Sus scrofa: one gene and its partners. The protein of the gene in region 3 purifies or fractionates together with the protein of the main gene of each other region. This does not show direct contact. Links are inferred from orthologs where the notes say so. Each region holds a gene or a part of one and is shown on either strand. Other genes may lie near its edges. The genes, in order: KLHL9, FKBP5 and NUDCD3.

What was found.
Region 1: the proteins of NUDCD3 (region 3) and KLHL9 purify together in Homo sapiens (co-immunoprecipitation; 3 studies listed by BioGRID and IntAct, with this or other methods). This does not show direct contact. The link is inferred for Sus scrofa from reciprocal best matches to the Homo sapiens genes NUDCD3 and KLHL9.
Region 2: the proteins of NUDCD3 (region 3) and FKBP5 purify together in Homo sapiens (affinity purification with mass spectrometry; 3 studies listed by BioGRID and IntAct, with this or other methods). This does not show direct contact. The link is inferred for Sus scrofa from reciprocal best matches to the Homo sapiens genes NUDCD3 and FKBP5.

Annotation. Positions count from the first base shown.
Region 1 is NC_010443.5:201,589,030-201,593,219, reverse strand, and holds the start of KLHL9 (kelch-like protein 9), read left to right. Parts: upstream 1-1,389; 5' UTR 1,390-1,950; coding exon 1,951-3,804; 3' UTR 3,805-4,190.
Region 2 is NC_010449.5:31,546,943-31,551,076, reverse strand, and holds the start of FKBP5 (FK506 binding protein 5), read left to right. Parts: upstream 1-1,246; 5' UTR 1,247-1,353; intron 1,354-4,134. UniProt on the Homo sapiens protein: Immunophilin protein with PPIase and co-chaperone activities. Component of unligated steroid receptors heterocomplexes through interaction with heat-shock protein 90 (HSP90).
Region 3 is NC_010460.4:50,825,051-50,828,050, forward strand, and holds part of NUDCD3 (nudC domain-containing protein 3), read left to right. Parts: intron 1-72; coding exon 73-261; intron 262-3,000.

The DNA of each region.
Region 1 (4,190 bases), on a different chromosome or scaffold from region 3:
TTATATGAATGAGAGTATCTCATTAAGTATAGAACAGTGAGTATGGTATGCTATCTTTTAAATAAAAATAGGGAGAGTGTAATATAAGACTATATAGTCATCAATTTGCATATGCATGAATAAAGTGAAAGGATTTAAAAGACAGTAATAACTTCAAACTGGAAAATTTTGGAAGCAGTGTGTCAAAGTATACATTTATTAATATGCTCAAATCTCAATTTCTAGTAATTTTAAAAATGTAAATTCATCAACTATCCTTCAATTTTTTAAAATGTTAAGTTAGTAAAATATCCATAAAGGGAAAGATCAGTAGAGGGGAAATGTGTACTCAAACACTGCTGATGATATTTTGGAAAAAAAAATTTTATATGTCTTCAATCATTATTCTGCTTTTTGGATTTATCCAAAAACAAACATAGTTTTGTGCCCAGATTCTATAAAACAGTGGAGGACAAGAAGGTATATATTTAGGAACAGGTGATGGGTAAAGTAAACCATAGTATGTGTAGTTATCTCACAACTGGATTATCTATTTAAAATTTTCTTTTTTTTGTCTTTTTGCTATTTCTTTGGGCCGCTCCCACGGCATATGGAGGTTCCCAGGCTAGGGGTCGAATCGGAGCTGTAGCCAATGGCCTACACCAGAGCCACAGCAACGCTGGATCCGAGCTGCGTCTGTAACCTACACCACAGCTCACGGCAATGCCGGATCATTAACCCACTGAGCAAGGGCAGGGACAGAACCCGCAACCTCATGGTTCCTAGTCGGATTCGTTAACCACTGCGCCACGACGGGAACTCCTATTTAAAATTTTCTGATTGGAAAACAAGAGCAGGAAAAATTTACTGATAATAGAATTCCATTGGGAGGCAAAAATTCAGACTGTTATTTACATAGCGTGGTCACAATTTGCTATTTAAAAAGAGGCACGTGACGTTTTAAATGATTTAAATCTGAAAATATGAACCAAGGCTATAATTAAAGTGTTCATTAATTGTGTGGGGTAAGAATCATAAAGATTTTTTTTATAGAGGAAGAACTTTAAGATCTTCCCCGTTTGCCACCATTTATCAGGTTTTCTTTCAGTTTCTACTAGAGCCGCATTTCATTGTTATGCAACAGGCAGAAGCCAGGAAGTGTAAATCCCAAAGTGTTCATTTAGGGGGAGCGTTCAGCTGCTTTGAAAGATTTATACCAAACACGATGAACGTGTACCCACTCCGGCTTCTTTAGCCGCTCTAAGTAAACCGAAGAAGCCCCGCCCCTGCCCACACAGCACAGCCCCCCACTTGCACAAAACCCGCCCTTCCAGTCCCCCTTGCCCTTCCTCTCATCCCCCACACTCCCGCCCACTGACAATGTCAGGCAGCCGCGCAGCCGCAGTATTTGCGACGGCCGCTCCTAGCCCGGGGCATCCTGGGACAAGGCCTTTCCGGAAGGAGCGGCTCCGCGTCCCGGGGCTCGGCCCGTTTCCCAGGCCCAGGCCGCTGTTCCAGGCCCCTGCTCAAAGACGGGTCCGTAGCCGTGGCGACGCACCAGGGTTAGTGGAGGGCGAAGCGGGCTGCTCGCTGAGGTGCCCGGCCTCGCCGCCGAGCGAGCCGTGGAACCGCAGGACGTGGCGGCACCTCCCCCCCCTTTGCCGGCAGCGGAACTGCAGGAGGAGCGGCAGCACAGGCCGGACGAGGTGAACCGGGTCACTTAACTGCTTTCAGGTGTTGAATCATCTACATAATAATCAGATTTGAGGTCCACAGCCCTTTGTGGTCCTGCTGCAGAACAATATTCAGTGTATGACTGGTGTGTTCTGAGAGGCGCCACGGCGATTGTTTGCCCTTGTTGATAAGGAACGCGAGCTCTCTTGCTCTTGGGACATCCTCGGTTCCTTTAAAGCTTGCAGGTCGTAACCTCCTTGTCCGGCATACATCTTTGTGCAACAGGAAGGCTTTCACATGAAAGTGTCTCTTGGTAACGGTGAAATGGGCGTCTCTGCCCATTTACAGCCTTGCAAGGCAGGAACCACACGGTTTTTTACCAGCAATACTCACAGTTCGGTGGTATTGCAAGGCTTTGATCAGCTTAGAATAGAAGGATTGCTTTGTGATGTGACTCTGGTACCAGGTGATGGAGATGAAATCTTCCCTGTTCATCGAGCTATGATGGCGTCTGCTAGTGATTATTTCAAGGCTATGTTCACAGGTGGAATGAAAGAACAAGATTTAATGTGCATTAAGCTTCACGGTGTGAACAAAGTTGGTCTGAAGAAAATAATTGATTTTATTTATACTGCAAAACTTTCTCTTAATATGGACAATCTTCAGGACACACTTGAAGCTGCCAGCTTTTTGCAAATTCTACCTGTTTTGGACTTCTGTAAAGTGTTTCTTATTTCAGGAGTCTCTTTAGATAACTGTGTTGAGGTTGGACGAATTGCTAACACCTACAATCTTATAGAAGTAGATAAATATGTCAATAATTTCATCCTGAAGAATTTTCCTGCATTATTGAGTACTGGGGAGTTTCTAAAACTCCCTTTTGAACGGCTTGCCTTTGTGCTTTCCAGCAACAGTCTTAAGCACTGTACTGAACTTGAGCTTTTCAAGGCTGCGTGTCGCTGGCTAAGGTTGGAAGACCCTCGGATGGATTATGCTGCAAAATTAATGAAGAACATTCGATTTCCACTGATGACACCACAGGATCTCATCAATTATGTGCAGACAGTAGATTTCATGAGAACAGACAATACTTGTGTGAATTTGCTTTTGGAAGCTAGCAATTACCAAATGATGCCATATATGCAGCCAGTGATGCAGTCAGATAGAACTGCCATTAGATCTGACTCTACCCACTTGGTTACATTAGGAGGAGTTTTGAGGCAGCAGCTGGTTGTCAGTAAAGAATTACGGATGTATGATGAAAGAGCTCAAGAGTGGAGGTCTTTAGCCCCCATGGATGCTCCTCGTTACCAGCATGGCATTGCTGTCATTGGAAACTTTCTTTATGTTGTTGGTGGTCAAAGTAATTATGATACAAAAGGAAAAACTGCTGTTGATACAGTTTTCAGATTTGATCCCCGGTATAATAAATGGATGCAGGTTGCATCATTAAATGAAAAGCGCACATTTTTCCACTTAAGTGCTCTGAAAGGGCATTTGTATGCTGTTGGTGGGCGAAGTGCAGCTGGTGAACTGGCCACAGTAGAATGTTACAATCCAAGAATGAATGAGTGGAGCTATGTTGCAAAAATGAATGAACCCCACTATGGCCATGCTGGAACAGTATATGGAGGCTTAATGTATATTTCAGGAGGAATTACTCATGACACTTTCCAAAACGAGCTCATGTGTTTTGACCCTGATACGGACAAATGGACACAGAAGGCTCCAATGACTACAGTCAGAGGTCTGCACTGCATGTGTACAGTTGGAGATAAGCTCTATGTCATTGGTGGCAATCACTTCAGAGGAACAAGTGATTATGATGATGTTCTAAGCTGTGAATACTATTCACCAACCCTTGACCAGTGGACACCAATTGCTGCCATGTTAAGAGGCCAGAGTGATGTTGGAGTTGCCGTCTTTGAAAATAAAATCTATGTTGTAGGTGGATATTCTTGGAATAATCGTTGTATGGTGGAAATTGTCCAAAAATACGACCCAGAAAAGGATGAGTGGCATAAAGTTTTTGATCTTCCAGAATCACTTGGTGGCATTCGAGCTTGTACTCTCACAGTTTTTCCACCTGAAGAAAACCCTGGATCACCTTCTAGAGAATCACCTCTATCAGCACCTTCAGATCATTCTTAGGACCAAGCTGTAATACTTTTGCAGTGCATCATGGATGATCCCATACTTCCACTTCAGTTGTATCTTCTTACAGTGATTGGTACAGTTATTAGATTAAAGAGGTAATTGATGTAATTTGTATTGTTTGGCTTAGTATGTTTATCAAATGGTTAACAATGCATTTTAAAAATGTATTCAACATAGCTGTTTTAGCAAATGTAAAAAGATAAGTAGAACAGTGTTTGTTAGATGTCTTTTTGTGGTGTTGTGTAAGTCAAAGTTTAGGTGATGGTAGTAAGTGTATATAATTATGTTTATTATGCTTCAAAGATGCTAAGTTTTCATCTTTTATGTCAAAACATCAAAGGGAGGCTGCTTGCCCTAATCTAAAATAATAAGCAGAAAAC
Region 2 (4,134 bases), on a different chromosome or scaffold from region 3:
CTTACCTGACACAAACAGCCTGGCCTGCCCCTCTCCATCCACGGGGCAGGTTGGGTGGGCAGGAAGGGGGACAGAGTTTTCAGGGAGAGACCCCGTTGTTAAGTCAACAAGCTTATTTAGGCATTAATTTCCCTGGAGGCAAGGAACGGTGTGAGGGGGTGTGGGTCAGTTTCCTTCATCCCTTGCCTCCAGCCCCCACAAAGGGCAAGGGCCAGACACGTGGGCTGGCGTGGAGAGGCGGAGGTTACACCAAGGCGGAGGTGCAAATGGACGGGGGCGGGGCCTTATTTGCATGGACAGCGCGAGGCCGCCAATCCGAACAGGCAGAGCGACAGCCCGCGCGCCTTTTGGGGGCGGACTGACGGCCCCGGGGCCCTATGGAAGGCGGGTCCTACGGCCGGCGGGGGCGGGACGGCGCCGGGCGCTGCCCGGGGGATTCGGGCCGGTTCGCAGGCGCTGCCAGTCTCTGGAGGCGGCGGCGTCCGGCGCGCGGGCGGCCTGCTGGGCGGGCTGAGGGGACAGCTGCGTGCGGGTGAGGCGGGGAGAGACAGAGCAGTAGAGCAACCCCGGCGACAGGTACCGGCGCCATGGCCGCAAGGATGGGGCGGGTGGTCGTGGAGCTCCGGGAGCCGAATTCCTCCTTTGCGGTCCCGCCGCCTTCCCGCTCCGCCTCCCCGCCTCCTCATGCGGCTCCCCAGTCCGGGAACGGCGCGTCGGGGAGAGAGGGGCCGGGGAAGCCTCGAGGCGGACGCGCCGGAGGTCCCCAGCCCGCCGCGGGGCTCCTTTGCGTCCCGCCAGGCCGCGGGGCCGGGGTTCCCTCCTGGAGGCGCGGAGCCGGGCGGCCGCGAGAGCCGCTCCCCGCCCCCGCCGCGCTCCCCCTCGCGGAGGCGAGGCCGGTGGCGCCCGCTGGTCCTCACCCGGCTTTTGTTTCCCGCCCGGGGTGACAGGTCCCGGGCTCCGGCTCGTCCGAGGCCCGGCGCCGGTGACTGCGGCCGGCCGGAGCAGGCGGCGGGACTGGCGGGAGGGCCGGGCGGCGCGTGAGCAGTAGCCGCCGCGGGCGGGAGAGAAACTTCGCCTTCCGGGCCCGGGCGGCGGGAGAAGTGGAGCTGGGGTGAGCCGAGCGTCGGGACGCCGCGGGCACGATGGAGCCTCGCTCACCTGGCGGGGCCCGCGCAGGGCGAGGATAACGGAGCGTCCGGCCGCCGCGGTCCTGGCTTTCGGTTTGCGCTCCCCGGGCGGTGGGTGTGGATGTGTGTTCGCCGCCTTCACCTGCAGACCCGGGACTGGTGACTGGAACAGCATTCCCGCTCTCGGCCGCGCTTAGAGGGTGCCAGGGCCGCTCAGTTTGAACAGGTGATTATTTTAGTGCCAGGTGAAGGCCATTGAGGAGTTTTAGGGCTCCGTATTCAATTCACTCCGGGGCGTTAGAACGCATCTACCCTTAATGACTTCTAAAAAGGGGTGCTGGTTGCAGTAGAGGAGTCAAACTAGTTCAATTTTTTAAAAACTGGGCGGGGGCCGGGAGAGCGAAGGCGAAGTTTCTCTCCCGCCGGGAGAGAACCTGCTTCACACGGACGGGCGGGGAGGAACGTCGTAGTCTCAGTTTGAAAATGGGCTTCTGCAGCGGTGGCGAAAGCATGGTAAGGTACAAGTTGTAAATGGAGAATGCAGAACTCTAGATATCCCTCTGTGTGGTTCAGGACAGCGTGTACAGCCTTTGGCCGCCATTCAGTAAATTCTGCATGAAGCAGTTTGAGCTCGTGGTTTTGGATTTACTTTACAGGAGTGGAATAAGGCTGAGCATTGAATGGGAGCTTTCTTTGCTTTTCTGAGGGCACACAGGAGTGTTTATGTTCATTGTCTTCCCATTTTGTTAGATTGCGGACCAGGGCAAAGTTAAGGCATATTTTGGTTGAGTGTTTTTAATTGTCTCTGGGAATTCTCCTTCCCCCACCGTTCCACCCCTGCCCCTCAGAAGAGGTCTCCAGAGAATTAGAGTAACTTTTCCTCTTGGGCGTTTGAGTCCAAATTCAAAGATGGATGTGAAAACTTATTCTTGTGGGACGTTTTTGTTTGTCATACTTAACATTTTCTGTTTCTGCCTCTCCCATCTGACCTCTGCTTAACACTCTGCAGTTATGGCCCTGACCAATTTAGGGCACCTATAGGGAAAAAAAAGTTTTAAAATAATATGTAGTAATTACTTAAAAATATGTTATGAAGGTTACTAATGACGTATTGGATAAACAGTTGATTTAGATTTTCTTTGCTAATATGTCTTTTTGATGTCTGTGCTAGGTATGGTTTATACTTAGATGTAAGTTTAACTTAGTGATAAAGTTATACTTCTGATTTAGTATGCTACTTTATTAGTGTTTCGTTGAATAGTAATTTTAGTTATTTAGATAATTAGTGACACCTTTTAAAGGTGAACTCTAACCAATAAGCTAATTGTGACTATTGGGGATTAAAAAAAAAAGCAAAACAAAGTGGTCTTTATAAAATGTTTTATTTCTTTAGAACAACAGGCTTATATGCTGAGAGGTCCTTGTCTTTCAAACATTTAACAAAACAAGTATGTTTCTGAATCTTTAATTTTTTAGGGATGGGAATTTGGGGTGAATTTCTTTTTTAAAACAATTTTAATCAGTTCAACGTGACTATTTTAAAATATTAGATTAGACAACTAATGAAATCTTCAATTTTCTGTTTTTTCTTGGATTGAATAGGTTGTTTAGTTTCCTCAAGGCTTCTTAGCTTAGAACGAATCGGTCTAGGAAAGGAAGACCATCCTTGTATATATAGGTGTAGAAGTAATTTCTATTGAAAGCTGAGTTGCCTTTTTGATGCTTAGTGAAGGTTGAATGGTTGAACAGTGACTTGTCCAGAGTGGATTTGATTCTATATAAATAGACTTGAAGACTTTTATGAGACCCGGGCTCTCATGGTTCTGAGCGATTTATGTAATTAATTGTTCTTTAAAGTGTATGGGAATATTAGTTTAACTACTGTGTGTAATTAGTTATAAAATCTTTGTCCTGTGATGATGCTTAAATATACCACATATCATAAAGCTACATTTCATAGTTTCATTTACACAAAAGCATATTTTGGGAACTTTAACTATAAAAGTGACTTTTAATTAAAAGATTGCTTTCAGATTCAGTTTTTACACACTTTAATTGCTGATTTTTGTCCCCTTTAACTTTGTTTACTTTAACTTGTGGTAGACCATATCATAAAATTATCAGCCACATTACAGTTTCAAATTTAAGCATAAGTTGAATTATCGCATCTACACAGTTTACATTGGGAATGTTTTTGTCATTAACCCTCAGGTGTGGCTCCCTTTGAGTTTGAGGCTGGGAAAATATTTTTTAACGAGTAAAGCCACAAAAAAACCGGAACACATTAAACCAACTAAACTTGAGGATAAATCTCACAATTCAGATATTAATACTGTTTTATTTAACAGTAATATGCTTGCTGTATCTCTCATTAATAGTCTCTGTAGGCCTTTAATGTAATTTTTCACAATTCCTAATAAAAGCCTATAGTTACATAATTTGGCACACTAAATTTGTAATTATTTTATGCTGAACAGTTACATGTTCTATACATTTTATAATTCTGAAACTATTTGAACTTTTAACCTAGCTGATTAGAAATTAGATTTTTTTCATTTTACATTCTGAATTTTTTTTTTACAGTGTTTTTTAACTACTGAAATTATGTCCCCAAAAGTGTAAGGGACATTAAATGTACATTCATCAGAGATTAGGCGGCCATTGGTAGGTACATCACATGATTATTGACTTAAAAGCAATAGCCACTGAAGTGCGATTTTTTTTTTTTTTTTTTTTTTTTTTGCGACTAAGATGTTTGTTTATTGTGTAAAAGACAGGTCTGCCAAATGAGACAGGTTAAAATAATTTATAGTAGGGCCTTGTGTATATGTAGCTAACAAGTTAGTAAGGATATTTCAGTAGTATTTGAGACACTAAAATTCAAGTACTCGAAGTAATTTATATCTCATAATTTGTCATGATGAGACTTGACCTGATTCAGCTGAAACTCAAACATATGACTATAATTCTTAACCCTCCCACCCAAGAAAGACTTAACCTACTATAA
Region 3 (3,000 bases):
GTGCCCCGACTTCCCCTCTGGGTCCCCAGCGCCGCCTCCCCGGCCCTGACTGTGTCTGCCCCCGTGTGCCAGGTGAGCCTGAACAAGGTGGGCGAGTACTGGTGGAGCGCCATCCTGGAGGGCGAGGAGCGCATCGACATCGACAAGATCAACAAGGAGCGCTCCATGGCCACGGTGGACGAGGAGGAGCACGCCGTCCTGGACAGGCTCACCTTCGACTACCACCAGAAGCTGCAGGGCAAGCCGCAGAGCCACGAGCTGGTACGGGCGCCCACCCTTCGCAGGTCGTCCTGGGCCCTCACGTGGGCAGCTCTGGCCTGGTCTCCCCCTAGGCCGGGGCTCTGGTTCCACCGCTGGACAGGGAGCCCGGGTGGCAGAGCTGCAAGGGGCCTGGCCGCGGGATCGGGGCCCTGTCGTTCCTAGCTCAGTGCTGGGGCCGTCCAGGCAGATCCCCCGAGCCCCTCCAAGACCCTCAGCAGAGGGAGGACGGCCAGGCCCGGCGTGCTCAGGGCCAGTGTGCGGTCGAGCACAAAGGGGCCATGGGGAGGAGGTCCCTCCGAGTCGCTTGGACGTCAGAGGCCTGAGCGTGCGTGTGGCTGGCGGGCGCGGGGGCCGAGGAGGTGAGTGCAGAGAACAGGATCAGGTGGCAGGCTGCCTTCTGTCTCAGTAATCCCACGAGTGGCTGTTTGGAGGAGAGAGGGTTGTGTGTCTCAGGTTATTTTTAGCTCCCAGTGTCCCACGTGAACAGCACCGGGAGTCGAAAGTCCGGCGCGGTGGGAACAGGCCAAGGTGAAGCACGTGTCCCGTCCGGGGAGGGCGGGCGTGGGGCTTGCTGGGCGCCACGGCCCCTCTCCAGGGTTTGGCTGCTCATGTGTCAAACACAGCGCTCCCCCCAGGACCGCTGAATGCCGTTCGGGTTCTTGGGTGTCCTGTTTGTCCCCTGGGGGCTGCACGGTGAGTGTTTCAGGCCTGTGGCTGCCAAGGCTCCTGCCCACGTGCCTGTGGGTCTGTCTCCGTCCTCCTTTCATTCAGACCTGGACACACACGGCCCACCTTGCTCCTGCGGGGGCCGCGGGGCCGTGGAGGGTGCGCTGGGCGCTCACTGCTCGCAGGTTTGGTGGGGTTGCCTGGGACACAGTCTCCATGGCAGCCCGAGTGGAGGGTCGAGGGTTAAGGGTCACAGCGCACGTTCAAGGTCCCAGAGCTGATCTGACAGCAGGGCTGGCGTTTGACCCCTGCGCTGGTTCAGGCCTGTCTGTCTTCTCTCCCTGAGTCTCTGCATCTTTTCTCGGTGTGGCTCCCTGACCCACCGGGGCGTATGGGGCCGGAGGCTGGGGCTCCGGGTGACCTTTGGGTCACAGGCACGTTAGTGGTCTCGTCTTTGGAAAGTGATGTCTGGTGTAATTGCTGAGCTCGCAGGGTCCAGGACTTGAAGTGCAGCTCCCCTGTGTGCACATTGAAGTGGCAGCTTTGGTCCAGTCTCACTGTGTTTGCCTCTGGCCACCGGATGAAGGAGCATCTGAACACTGGCCCGACAGGAGCTGGGCTCGTGCAGCCACTGGAGGGGGGGTGTCTCTGCCCCAACGTGGGCAGCACCGGCCGTGAGGCCCAAGTAGGAAGCAGCTCGGGAATGGGGCTGACCGATCAAGAAGGAGCTGAAGAAGAGCCATGAGGACGCTGCAGTCTAGTGGAAAGACCTCTGCGGTTTGAGTCCAGAGAGATTCTGGAAGGACTTGCCGTTTCCCATCCCAGGCAGTGTGCCGACCGTGAGCCAGTGAGAGTGCCTGGCAGAGTGCAGTGCCCTGCGAAGACCTTCGGCGGACACATAGAGCCCATGGCTGGTGGCAGGACCCAGGGATGACCCTTCGTCCAGCTGGCCTGCTCCTGGACAGCCAGGGCCCCCAGCTCCCCGCCCCTCACTGGAGACAGTCAAGGGCTGATGTCCAGGGCCCTGGTGAGGGAGGTGGGCGGGGGTCTGAGGGCACGGCCCTGTGCCAGCCCTGCTGCCTGGGACTCACCGGGCTTAGCAGGGATTCGGGGAGGAGTATCTGCAGATGGGGCCTGGCCTCCCAGGGTCCCACGTGCACCTTCCTCAGCACCTGGGCCTTGAGGGAAGCCCAGCCTGGGGAGCAGGTGCTGAGAGAAGCGTGGAGGCTTGAGGACCTGGTGGAGCTGGCGTGGCCTGGTGGTGCGGCAGCTGGACTTTCCAGTGCTAAAGGCCTTGCAGCCATGCACAGTTGAGTCGGTGGTCTCCGTGGGCCCCGGAGGAAAGCACCCCCAGGAGAGGAAGGGACTTGGGGCTGGAGAGTCAGCAGGACCAGCTGGTGGCTTCAGATGAGGGCTGTGAGGAGGGAGGAGCCGCTTGAGAAAGGAGGTGGTGGCGGTGAGGGGCCCAGGGCTCCCCGTGAAGCTGGAGTGCGGGCCTGTCGGCCGCCTGTGACAAGGCTGGTGCATGGGGACGTCGTCATGGGTCGGGGCTCAGCGCAGGCTGAGTGAGAGACCGAGAAGGGGGCCTTCAGAGGGGGCGGAGGGCGGGAGCTCGAGGAGGGGATGCAGGAGGAGGCCTGGCTCGGCGGGCGGCCAGGAAGCTTGTTGCCGGGCGACAAGGTGTCACCTTGTGACTCTGCTGGGGACGGGAGGCGGGACGGCGGTGGGGCCCTGGGCTCTCTGGTCACCTCCTCCGTGGAGGCTGCAGTGCCCAGCCCTCCGAGTGCTCTGTCCAAGGTCCTGTCATGTGCTGTCTGCTGGGTCGGGAGTGACATCCGTTAATCCCTGCTCCGCGCTGCGGGTCTCTGACACGTTTGCTGCCGTGCACTTACTTAGGCTCAGTAACAGGGAAAAGGAGGCGCCTGTCAGGAGTCCCGCAGCCTCGTCCAGTACCAAGGATGTCCCCTCAGCTCTGTCGGCCTAGAGGCCGGGGGTGGGCAGGCCCTTCTGGCCCCCAGGCAGTGCGTGTTTTCGTTTCTCCCTGTCAGAAGGAACAGAAGGTGGCTCCCAGCC